Linked DNA regions of Arabidopsis thaliana. The protein of the gene in region 3 purifies or fractionates together with the protein of the main gene of each other region. This does not show direct contact. Each region holds a gene or a part of one and is shown on either strand. Other genes may lie near its edges.

What was found.
Region 1: the proteins of EMB1241 (region 3) and Hsp81.4 fractionate together in Arabidopsis thaliana (co-fractionation; one large-scale study listed by BioGRID). This does not show direct contact.
Region 2: the proteins of EMB1241 (region 3) and HSP81-3 fractionate together in Arabidopsis thaliana (co-fractionation; one large-scale study listed by BioGRID). This does not show direct contact.

What each region holds. Positions count from the first base shown.
Region 1 is NC_003076.8:22,678,050-22,681,804, reverse strand, and holds the start of Hsp81.4 (HEAT SHOCK PROTEIN 81.4), read left to right. Parts: upstream 1-1,652; 5' UTR 1,653-1,737; coding exon 1,738-1,860; intron 1,861-2,119; coding exon 2,120-2,261; intron 2,262-2,368; coding exon 2,369-3,755. Other genes in the region: HSP81-3 (heat shock protein 81-3), read right to left, coding at 273-395. UniProt on the Arabidopsis thaliana protein: Molecular chaperone which stabilizes unfolding protein intermediates and functions as a folding molecular chaperone that assists the non-covalent folding of proteins in an ATP-dependent manner.
Region 2 is NC_003076.8:22,679,686-22,683,440, reverse strand, and holds the start of HSP81-3 (heat shock protein 81-3), read right to left. Parts: upstream 2,204-3,755; 5' UTR 2,032-2,203; coding exon 1,909-2,031; intron 1,606-1,908; coding exon 1,464-1,605; intron 1,365-1,463; coding exon 1-1,364. Other genes in the region: Hsp81.4 (HEAT SHOCK PROTEIN 81.4), read left to right, coding at 3,374-3,496. UniProt on the Arabidopsis thaliana protein: Functions as a holding molecular chaperone (holdase) which stabilizes unfolding protein intermediates and rapidly releases them in an active form once stress has abated.
Region 3 is NC_003076.8:5,840,235-5,843,989, forward strand, and holds the start of EMB1241 (Co-chaperone GrpE family protein), read right to left. Parts: upstream 1,625-3,755; 5' UTR 1,406-1,624; coding exon 1,154-1,405; intron 592-1,153; coding exon 76-591; intron 1-75.

The DNA.
Region 1 (3,755 bases), about 17 Mb from region 3:
AGTAACCAACCAATACACAGAACGTATATACAAATTACATATAAGCAAACTTTGTAAATCTAACAAGAGTCTGCTTAATCGTTGGTATCAACACTAAAACTAATCAACAGATTTGAACACAAACAGCTTCGCAACTTCAATTACCAACCAAAATTCTAAAATCGGCTAGAACACTAAACCCTAATCAATCCTAAATCTACAGATCGAACAGCCAGATCAATCAAACGAGACAGACAAGTATAAAATAAGGTGTAGAGAGATAGAGATCGTACATCAGAAGAGTTACTGATGAGTTCACGAAGGAAGATCTCCTTGTTAGAGTAAAAGGTATTGATGATGAGGGAGAGCAACTGGTTGATCTCAGCTTGGAAAGCAAAGGTTTCTGCGTCCGCCATTCTCGTTGATCGGAAAAAAAATCTAAGAGCTAGGGTTTATGAATCAAATCGAGAGATAAAGAGAGCAAAATTTTCTTTAGAGAGCAGAGAAGTGTTGATTGATACGAGACTTTGGGGAAGGATGTTATTATATATAGTGGTGTGGGGACTGGGAACCTATAAGGGTTTCTAGATCCTTCCTATTTGATTTATGTTAATTTGCTTTTCAGGTCCACATAATCTGCAATATAATTAAATGGAAATTACAAAATACAAAACTATTTTTTGGTAGAAAAATACAAAACTTTATTAAATTTTTTAAAATTTTATTCCCTTTTATTTTATTTTGGAGAACAGGTGTAATTTACTACTTTTTGTAACAGGTTTTAGTTTACTTCTTTTTTTTTTTGGTTAAATTTTGTAATTTACTATTTTATTTTATTGGTTGATGATAATTTACTATTTATAAAAAACAGTCAGATTTAATTCTACTCCCTTTTTATTTTGCAGAACAGGTGTAATTTACTACTTTTTTGTAACAGGTTTTAGTTTCCTTTTTTGTTAATTTTGTAATTTACTATTTTATTTTATTGATGATAATTTACTATTTTAAAAACAAAGCAATAATTTTATTTTTTGCTTACAACTTTTTTTTTCCTGTTTACAGATTGGTATGTGTATCTTTTAATAAAGTTTCAAAAAAATCAATAATTAAATAATAATATTGAAAGTTGTAAAATAAATAAATTAAAACAATAACAAAAAGAAACACATATTCTCTAAAAAGCGTGGGGTTTGTGGGGAGAAAAAATTGATTTTTTTTTTTTAACTTCAGAATTGATTAAAACTTTTTTTTTTTTTTTAACACAACTATTTATCTTGTTGTTATAAATTAAATACATAACTAAAATTTGAAATAAAATTTTGAGATATCTTGAAACTAAGGGATTAACTTTATCGATTTCAAAAAATAACCCAAAACTAGGACCGATCTAAAAAAATCTAAACATAGATAAACTAGAATGAATGGGAACTTGTAAATTCAAATCCATAACAAAATCGAATTTTGTATATGGAGAAAAACATTGTTTTTATTGATTAGTTTAGCTAATAGAAAAATTTAACAAAAAAAAAAAAAAAAAAAGTAAGTAGCACTTGTTCCAAAAAAAAGGAAAGTAAAATATTATGACAATTTTTATATTTTACAATTTCCATTATATTATGACGTCTGTTTCCACATCCCCTATATATTACACACTTTTCCCCCTTAATCAAACCATCAATACTTCTCTGCTTCTCTTAAGAATTTGCTTTTTGATTCACATAAACCCTAATTCTTAGATTTTTTTCCCGATCAACGATAATGGCGGACGCAGAGACCTTTGCTTTCCAAGCTGAGATCAACCAGTTGCTTTCCCTCATCATCAATACCTTTTACTCCAACAAGGAGATCTTCCTCCGTGAACTCATCAGTAACTCCTCCGATGTACGATCTCTCCCTCTCTGTCTTTCTATGTTTATCTTTAAGCTTAATGTGTTTGTGTATCTCCTTCGATTGATTTGACGGATCTATGTGTAGATTTAGGTTTTATTAGGGTTTAGTGTTCTTTTCGATTTGAGATTTTCGTTTGTTAATTGATGGAACCTTTTCATGTTCAAATTTGTTAGATTACTTAGTTTTTGATTGTATATATGTTGTGTGTATTTTGTTACTTATGATTGAGCTTTTTATTCTGGTGAAACAGGCTTTGGACAAGATTAGGTTCGAGTCCTTGACGGATAAGAGCAAGCTCGATGGTCAGCCTGAGCTTTTCATTCATATCATTCCGGACAAGACTAACAACACCTTGACCATTATCGATAGTGGTATTGGGATGACCAAGGCTGGTACGTAATTGATTTCATTCAAAAGCAAGTTGTACTTGATTTCATTCAAAACCATTATCTATGTGTTTGATTTGTGTTTGCTGATTCGTGTTTGTTCTATTGTACAGATTTGGTGAACAACCTTGGAACAATTGCAAGGTCTGGTACCAAGGAGTTCATGGAGGCATTGGCTGCTGGAGCTGATGTTAGCATGATTGGTCAATTTGGTGTTGGTTTCTACTCTGCTTACTTGGTTGCTGACAAGGTTGTTGTTACTACCAAGCACAACGACGATGAGCAGTATGTGTGGGAGTCTCAGGCCGGTGGATCTTTCACGGTGACCAGAGACACCTCTGGTGAGGCTCTTGGTAGAGGAACAAAGATGATCCTTTACCTCAAGGAAGACCAGATGGAGTACATTGAGGAGCGAAGGCTTAAGGATTTGGTGAAGAAGCACTCTGAGTTCATCAGCTACCCAATCTCTCTCTGGATTGAGAAGACCATTGAGAAGGAGATCTCTGATGATGAAGAGGAGGAAGAGAAGAAGGATGAGGAAGGCAAGGTTGAGGAAATTGATGAGGAGAAAGAAAAGGAGGAGAAGAAAAAGAAGAAGATTAAGGAGGTTACTCATGAGTGGGATTTGGTGAACAAACAGAAGCCTATCTGGATGAGGAAGCCAGAGGAGATCAACAAGGAGGAGTACGCTGCTTTCTACAAGAGTTTGAGCAATGATTGGGAGGAGCATTTGGCTGTGAAGCATTTCTCTGTTGAAGGACAGCTTGAGTTCAAAGCTATCCTCTTTGTTCCCAAGAGAGCTCCTTTCGATCTCTTTGACACTAAGAAGAAGCCCAACAACATCAAGCTCTATGTCCGTCGTGTCTTCATCATGGACAACTGTGAAGACATCATCCCTGATTACCTTGGGTTTGTCAAGGGTATCGTTGACTCTGAAGATCTTCCTCTCAACATCTCAAGAGAAACATTGCAGCAGAACAAGATCCTCAAGGTCATCCGCAAGAACCTTGTGAAGAAGTGTCTTGAGCTCTTCTTTGAGATTGCCGAGAACAAGGAGGACTACAACAAGTTCTATGAGGCTTTCTCTAAAAACCTGAAGCTCGGCATCCACGAGGACTCCCAAAACAGAACCAAGATTGCTGAGTTGCTCCGTTACCACTCAACCAAGAGCGGTGATGAATTGACCAGTCTCAAGGACTACGTGACAAGGATGAAGGAAGGTCAGAACGAGATCTTCTACATCACCGGTGAGAGCAAAAAGGCCGTGGAGAACTCTCCCTTCCTAGAGAAGCTCAAGAAGAAGGGTTACGAAGTCCTCTACATGGTTGACGCTATTGATGAGTATGCTATTGGTCAGCTCAAGGAATTCGAGGGAAAGAAGCTTGTCTCTGCAACCAAGGAAGGTCTGAAGCTGGAAGAGACTGATGACGAGAAGAAGAAGAAAGAAGAGCTCAAGGAGAAGTTTGAGGGACTCTGCAAAGTGATTAAGGACGTTTTGGG
Region 2 (3,755 bases), about 17 Mb from region 3:
GCAGAGTCCCTCAAACTTCTCCTTGAGCTCTTCTTTCTTCTTCTTCTCGTCTTCAGTCTCATCCAGTTTCAGACCTTCCTTGGTTGCAGAGACAAGCTTCTTTCCTTCGAATTCCTTGAGCTGACCAATAGCATACTCATCGATAGCGTCAACCATGTAGAGAACTTCAATACCCTTCTTCTTGAGCTTCTCAAGGAATGGAGAGTTCTCAACAGCCTTCTTGCTCTCACCAGTGATATAGAAGATATCGTTCTGACCTTCCTTCATCCTTGTCACGTAGTCCTTGAGACTGGTCAATTCATCACCGCTCTTGGTTGAGTGGTAACGGAGCAACTCAGCAATCTTGGTTCTGTTTTGGGAGTCCTCATGGATACCGAGCTTCAGGTTCTTAGAGAAAGCCTCATAGAACTTGTTGTAGTCCTCCTTGTTCTCAGCAATCTCAAAGAAGAGCTCAAGACACTTCTTCACAAGGTTCTTGCGGATGACCTTGAGGATCTTGTTCTGCTGCAATGTTTCTCTTGAGATGTTGAGAGGAAGATCTTCAGAGTCAACAATACCCTTGACAAACCCAAGGTACTCAGGAATGATGTCTTCACAGTTGTCCATGATGAAGACACGACGGACATAGAGCTTGATGTTGTTGGGCTTCTTCTTAGTGTCAAAGAGATCAAAAGGAGCTCTCTTGGGAACAAAGAGGATAGCTTTGAACTCAAGCTGTCCTTCAACTGAGAAATGCTTCACAGCCAAATGCTCTTCCCAGTCATTGCTCAAACTCTTGTAGAAAGCAGCGTACTCCTCCTTGTTGATCTCCTCTGGCTTCCTCATCCAAATCGGTTTCTGCTTGTTCACCAAATCCCACTCATGAGAAACCTCCTTAATCTTCTTCTTTTTCTTCTCCTCCTTTTCTTTCTCCTCATCAACTTCCTCAACCTTGCCTTCCTCATCCTTCTTCTCTTCCTCCTCTTCATCATCAGAGATCTCCTTCTCAATGGTCTTCTCAATCCAGAGAGAGATTGGGTAGCTGATGAACTCAGAGTGCTTCTTCACCAAATCCTTAAGCCTTCGCTCCTCAATGTACTCCATCTGGTCTTCCTTGAGGTAAAGGACCATCTTAGTTCCTCTACCAAGAGCCTCACCAGAGGTGTCTCTGGTGACGGTGAAAGATCCACCGGCCTGAGACTCCCACACGTACTGCTCATCGTCATTGTGCTTGGTAGTAACAACAACCTTGTCAGCAACCAAGTAAGCAGAGTAGAAACCAACACCAAACTGTCCAATCATGCTAACATCAGCTCCAGCAGCCAACGCCTCCATGAATTCTTTGGTTCCAGATCTTGCAATTGTTCCAAGGTTGTTCACCAGATCTGAAAAATAAAACAAAAACGTATTAGCCAACACACCAAACACATAAATAATCAACGAAAACCAATACAAATTGCTTTTGACTGAAATCAATTACGTACCAGCCTTGGTCATCCCAATACCACTATCGATAATCGTCAAGGTGTTGTTAGTCTTGTCGGGAATGATGTGAATGAAGAGCTCTGGCTGACCATCGAGCTTGCTCTTGTCTGTCAAGGACTCAAACCTAATCTTGTCCAAAGCCTGTTTTCACCAGAGTAAAATCACAATCGTAAGTAACCAACCAATACACAGAACGTATATACAAATTACATATAAGCAAACTTTGTAAATCTAACAAGAGTCTGCTTAATCGTTGGTATCAACACTAAAACTAATCAACAGATTTGAACACAAACAGCTTCGCAACTTCAATTACCAACCAAAATTCTAAAATCGGCTAGAACACTAAACCCTAATCAATCCTAAATCTACAGATCGAACAGCCAGATCAATCAAACGAGACAGACAAGTATAAAATAAGGTGTAGAGAGATAGAGATCGTACATCAGAAGAGTTACTGATGAGTTCACGAAGGAAGATCTCCTTGTTAGAGTAAAAGGTATTGATGATGAGGGAGAGCAACTGGTTGATCTCAGCTTGGAAAGCAAAGGTTTCTGCGTCCGCCATTCTCGTTGATCGGAAAAAAAATCTAAGAGCTAGGGTTTATGAATCAAATCGAGAGATAAAGAGAGCAAAATTTTCTTTAGAGAGCAGAGAAGTGTTGATTGATACGAGACTTTGGGGAAGGATGTTATTATATATAGTGGTGTGGGGACTGGGAACCTATAAGGGTTTCTAGATCCTTCCTATTTGATTTATGTTAATTTGCTTTTCAGGTCCACATAATCTGCAATATAATTAAATGGAAATTACAAAATACAAAACTATTTTTTGGTAGAAAAATACAAAACTTTATTAAATTTTTTAAAATTTTATTCCCTTTTATTTTATTTTGGAGAACAGGTGTAATTTACTACTTTTTGTAACAGGTTTTAGTTTACTTCTTTTTTTTTTTGGTTAAATTTTGTAATTTACTATTTTATTTTATTGGTTGATGATAATTTACTATTTATAAAAAACAGTCAGATTTAATTCTACTCCCTTTTTATTTTGCAGAACAGGTGTAATTTACTACTTTTTTGTAACAGGTTTTAGTTTCCTTTTTTGTTAATTTTGTAATTTACTATTTTATTTTATTGATGATAATTTACTATTTTAAAAACAAAGCAATAATTTTATTTTTTGCTTACAACTTTTTTTTTCCTGTTTACAGATTGGTATGTGTATCTTTTAATAAAGTTTCAAAAAAATCAATAATTAAATAATAATATTGAAAGTTGTAAAATAAATAAATTAAAACAATAACAAAAAGAAACACATATTCTCTAAAAAGCGTGGGGTTTGTGGGGAGAAAAAATTGATTTTTTTTTTTTAACTTCAGAATTGATTAAAACTTTTTTTTTTTTTTTAACACAACTATTTATCTTGTTGTTATAAATTAAATACATAACTAAAATTTGAAATAAAATTTTGAGATATCTTGAAACTAAGGGATTAACTTTATCGATTTCAAAAAATAACCCAAAACTAGGACCGATCTAAAAAAATCTAAACATAGATAAACTAGAATGAATGGGAACTTGTAAATTCAAATCCATAACAAAATCGAATTTTGTATATGGAGAAAAACATTGTTTTTATTGATTAGTTTAGCTAATAGAAAAATTTAACAAAAAAAAAAAAAAAAAAAGTAAGTAGCACTTGTTCCAAAAAAAAGGAAAGTAAAATATTATGACAATTTTTATATTTTACAATTTCCATTATATTATGACGTCTGTTTCCACATCCCCTATATATTACACACTTTTCCCCCTTAATCAAACCATCAATACTTCTCTGCTTCTCTTAAGAATTTGCTTTTTGATTCACATAAACCCTAATTCTTAGATTTTTTTCCCGATCAACGATAATGGCGGACGCAGAGACCTTTGCTTTCCAAGCTGAGATCAACCAGTTGCTTTCCCTCATCATCAATACCTTTTACTCCAACAAGGAGATCTTCCTCCGTGAACTCATCAGTAACTCCTCCGATGTACGATCTCTCCCTCTCTGTCTTTCTATGTTTATCTTTAAGCTTAATGTGTTTGTGTATCTCCTTCGATTGATTTGACGGATCTATGTGTAGATTTAGGTTTTATTAGGGTTTAGTGTTCTTTTCGATTTGAGATTTTCGTTTGTTAATTGATGGAACCTTTTCATGTTCAAATTTGTTAGATTACTTAGTTTTTGATTGTATATATGTTGTGTGTATTTTGTTACTTATGATTGAGCTTTTTATTCTGGTGAAACAG
Region 3 (3,755 bases):
AACCACCAGCAAGCTGAGCAACAAAAATACAGTTGTCGATCTCCGGAAAGAAGAAAAGATATCATAGTAACTAACCATTGGATCAAACTGCTTGCCGACTGTCTCCACATGGATAACACCAAGTGATCCCAGAATTTCTACAAACTGTTTGTATATGCTCTGATAGCTATTAGTGACTTTCTCTTCTCCCTCAGTCTCCACCTTAATTTGGGATTTAGCTCTCTCGAAATTATCCAAAACAGCCAAAAGATTCTCTACAACCTCTCCTTGAGCATTTGAAACAAGGTTTAGCCTTTCCCTCTCAGTCCTCTTCCTGAAGTTGTCGAAATCTGCACTGATTCTTATAAGCCGATCCCTCTCCACCGATAACTCATTGGATAAAGACGCTACTTTATCCGCAAGCAGAAATTTTTCATCTTCTATGGACTTTAAAGATGCTTCTATCTCAGCAATCTTCCCCTCGTTGTTGTCTGCTAAAGCTTCTTTATAGGATTTCAGCAACGCTGTGATAACAGCTGCTTCTTCTTCCTCAGCTTCACCCTCCTCAGCACTGGCATTTTCATTCTCGACATCAACAGCACCATCCGTCTCCTGCTCCATGATTTCAGAAGTGAAACAAAAAATCAGAAAAAGAGCAATCCAGTTTACATAGACGTTTCCTATCTATTCCTGATAAAAGCTGAGACAGAACACACACTAACGACACAATTTTTTAATGACCTCCTAAACAATCAGATTAACACCAAAAAAGCTTCAGAACATTCTGTGGCCCCCATACAAGAATCACGAAATCAAAATTCGATTTGGATAGTACATACACACCATGGTCTTAAACTACTAGTGAAACTCCTTCATTTTGGGAACACACCATACCACAAGAATATGAAATCTGTCATTCATCGGATTTGGTATATCCTAAGAAACATTAGCATTCACCATTTGACTCCTGAATAGACTGAATACAATCCTATTCATTGCTCTAATTCATGTGAACGTTCCTTCAGAGGGTAATATAATCAATAAAGCTTAAAAATTTAAGCAAACAACAAGCAATTCTAAATTACCATATCCCAAATTCGAAACCCTAATCACCGAACTAACAATGAAATAACCCCCAAGAAAGTTGAACAGAAGTGAGCCGAAATCGAAAAACCTGAACTTCGGGTTCGTTCGATTCCACCTCCGTCTCCGTCGTCTCAGCTTCTCCCGAAGCAAAGGGTACGAGGTTTAGTAAGCGGAGAGGATAGCCGCTAGAGACAGACCGGAGAGAAGCTCGGCGAGAGAGTGAGACGCTAACGTTTCTTCCTCCGGCGAAAGATACGCAAAAGGGCTTAAAGGGTACAGAAGGAGCATGAAGAAGAGTTGGTGTGAGATGTAAAGACGGCGTTTTGAGTAGACCGGCCATCGAAGAGTTCGGAGAAAGAGAAGGAGAGTGGCGGAGAGAGATAAGGAAGATAGAGAGAGAGAGGGCAAACGGTTCTACTCTTCCTCGTCGGATCTTTTGTTTTGTTTCGTTTTTTTAACCGTTGGATTTACTTTTCGTTTTTACTATGTTGATCGGACCGTTGTTGTTCAACAGAGATTACGTAGGGAGTTTTTCAACCGTCGGATTTAGATTTTCTTGAAACTTCTACAGTTTTGTGAATATTTTATATAATACAATAAAATCTCTGTAAATTAATACTCGAGAAGGCTGTTCGATGTTCTATGCCAATGATCTAACTGATTCCTGGTATGATGTCTCCAAACTCTTTGTAAGTTGTCTTCCACTCTTATGGTTCAACTCTTTTTCCAAGTCCACTTCATCACGAATCTCTTCATCTTCTCTAGCGATGACTACACTTTTCTTCAAGTGGGAGCAAATTTATCCAGGAACTGTTGTTCTGACATAAGAATATTTGAATGATTTGTAGTTGTATCAATTTCGCCTTGCCTTTCTTTTGGATCTGAATGTTTCAAACATTTTCGACAATAAAATATGTTTTTACCAATTTGTATCAGTTTTGTTATTGCAGATTCAAATTGTATCATGATCTCATGCATATCGTTGTTGAAAATAACATAATAAGACTTGAGATTTGGGAAATTTTTAGAAGCAATTTTGTGTTATTGACTATAACTAGTTCTACAATTTGGGCTTAGGCTTTATTTACAAAAGGGTTTCCTTAAGCCCAAAGAGATGTACTATATAGTTAAATGTTTGTTTTGGTCAAGTACTAGTACTCAATATGTTATAGATGAAAAGTAATAAGAGAATATCAGGGTTTGCCGGTTTGGGTTGACAACAAAGAGATAGGAGACCATCCATGTTTAATCTATTTTCTAAGTCCGCACACTTAGTTTTGTCAGAAGTAGTGGGTGCAACGGACCTTAATCCTAAATCAGAAGTATTAACTACAAAGTGACTAAAGTTTTAAACTAATTATTAAATATCACCCGTTGTTGAGGCTAACATATCATAAAAGATATTCTTCTTCGACCATTTTACTTTTTCATTTTCCAATTTCTCAATATATTATTTTAGTTAAAATTTTGTAAGTAGATGTTTATCAAAAATTCTCAAGTAAATATCTAGCATATGTTTGGAGGTGACAATCCATATAAGCTTTTAAAATTGAATATCAAATAGTTTAGTTCAAATGTTTAGAATTGGAAGCTAAATAAAGGAAGAATTTCAAAAGCATCTTTTCGAATACCACTTTTCAAAAATATTATATTTCTAATTGTTTATTAAAAGTACTCCTAAGAATATGAGGTTTATTCAAATATGTGTGTAACTTTATTAAAGTATACAAACTACTTTTATATGTGTGTAAAAACTTATAAATATTTTATAAATACAGTATAAAAATAACTTATAAATACCTTGTAAAACAATACCTTGTAAAACATTTTTAAATACCTTCTAAAATCTTATTAAACCATATAAAATACTTTATAAAACATTAGATCGAATCTCCAATTAGTAGTTTACACCAAAAACTTTATGAACTTTTGAGATTTAATGAAGAGTATTTTCTAAAAATAAACACCTAAAAAGTTTCCAATGGTGATTAACAAATTGAACTAGCTGAATAAAATGAGTACTGATAAGTTGAATAAAGATAAGCTGAATAATAAAAAAGAGTTGGATAAACTAGATGAGATGAATAAGTTAGAGAAAAATAAAAGGTAACCTCTATATGTTTTCAACAGCTAAACATATTTCAATATTAATTAGAAACAGCTAAACAACAGGTTGTATTTTATTATATTAATTCTAACGCATGCAACGCATGGGTCTTCCACCTGGGTATATCATATAGATTATGAGTCTGTATCAAATTGGTCATCACGTCGATTGAGAAAAATAAAAATAAAGTCTCTAATCATTTAGTTTCCTTCTTTTTATCGTCCCGTAATTCTCTATTTGTTTAACTTGACAATAAACTTAGATCTCGTTTTTTTACAATTTTTTTTTAAAAACAATAGATAAATATGTCTAATTTTCTTACAAAAAAGTGTATAAGATATTCCCAAATAGCCTACATATAGTATATATTTTGAATGAACGATTCCGCTTAACACTATCAGTGAATTTTGGGAACTCAAAAAGGATTATGACCAAGTTTTGGGTTCAAATCCTACCCTCAGCTAGTTTTCTCGTAGTCAAGTTTGTCTCAAATTATTCGTCCAAAACTCTTCGCTTACAAAGAAAGATTACACAAACTTAAAAAAATATTCAAACGAACGAGTTCTACTGTGGTATCAATCAT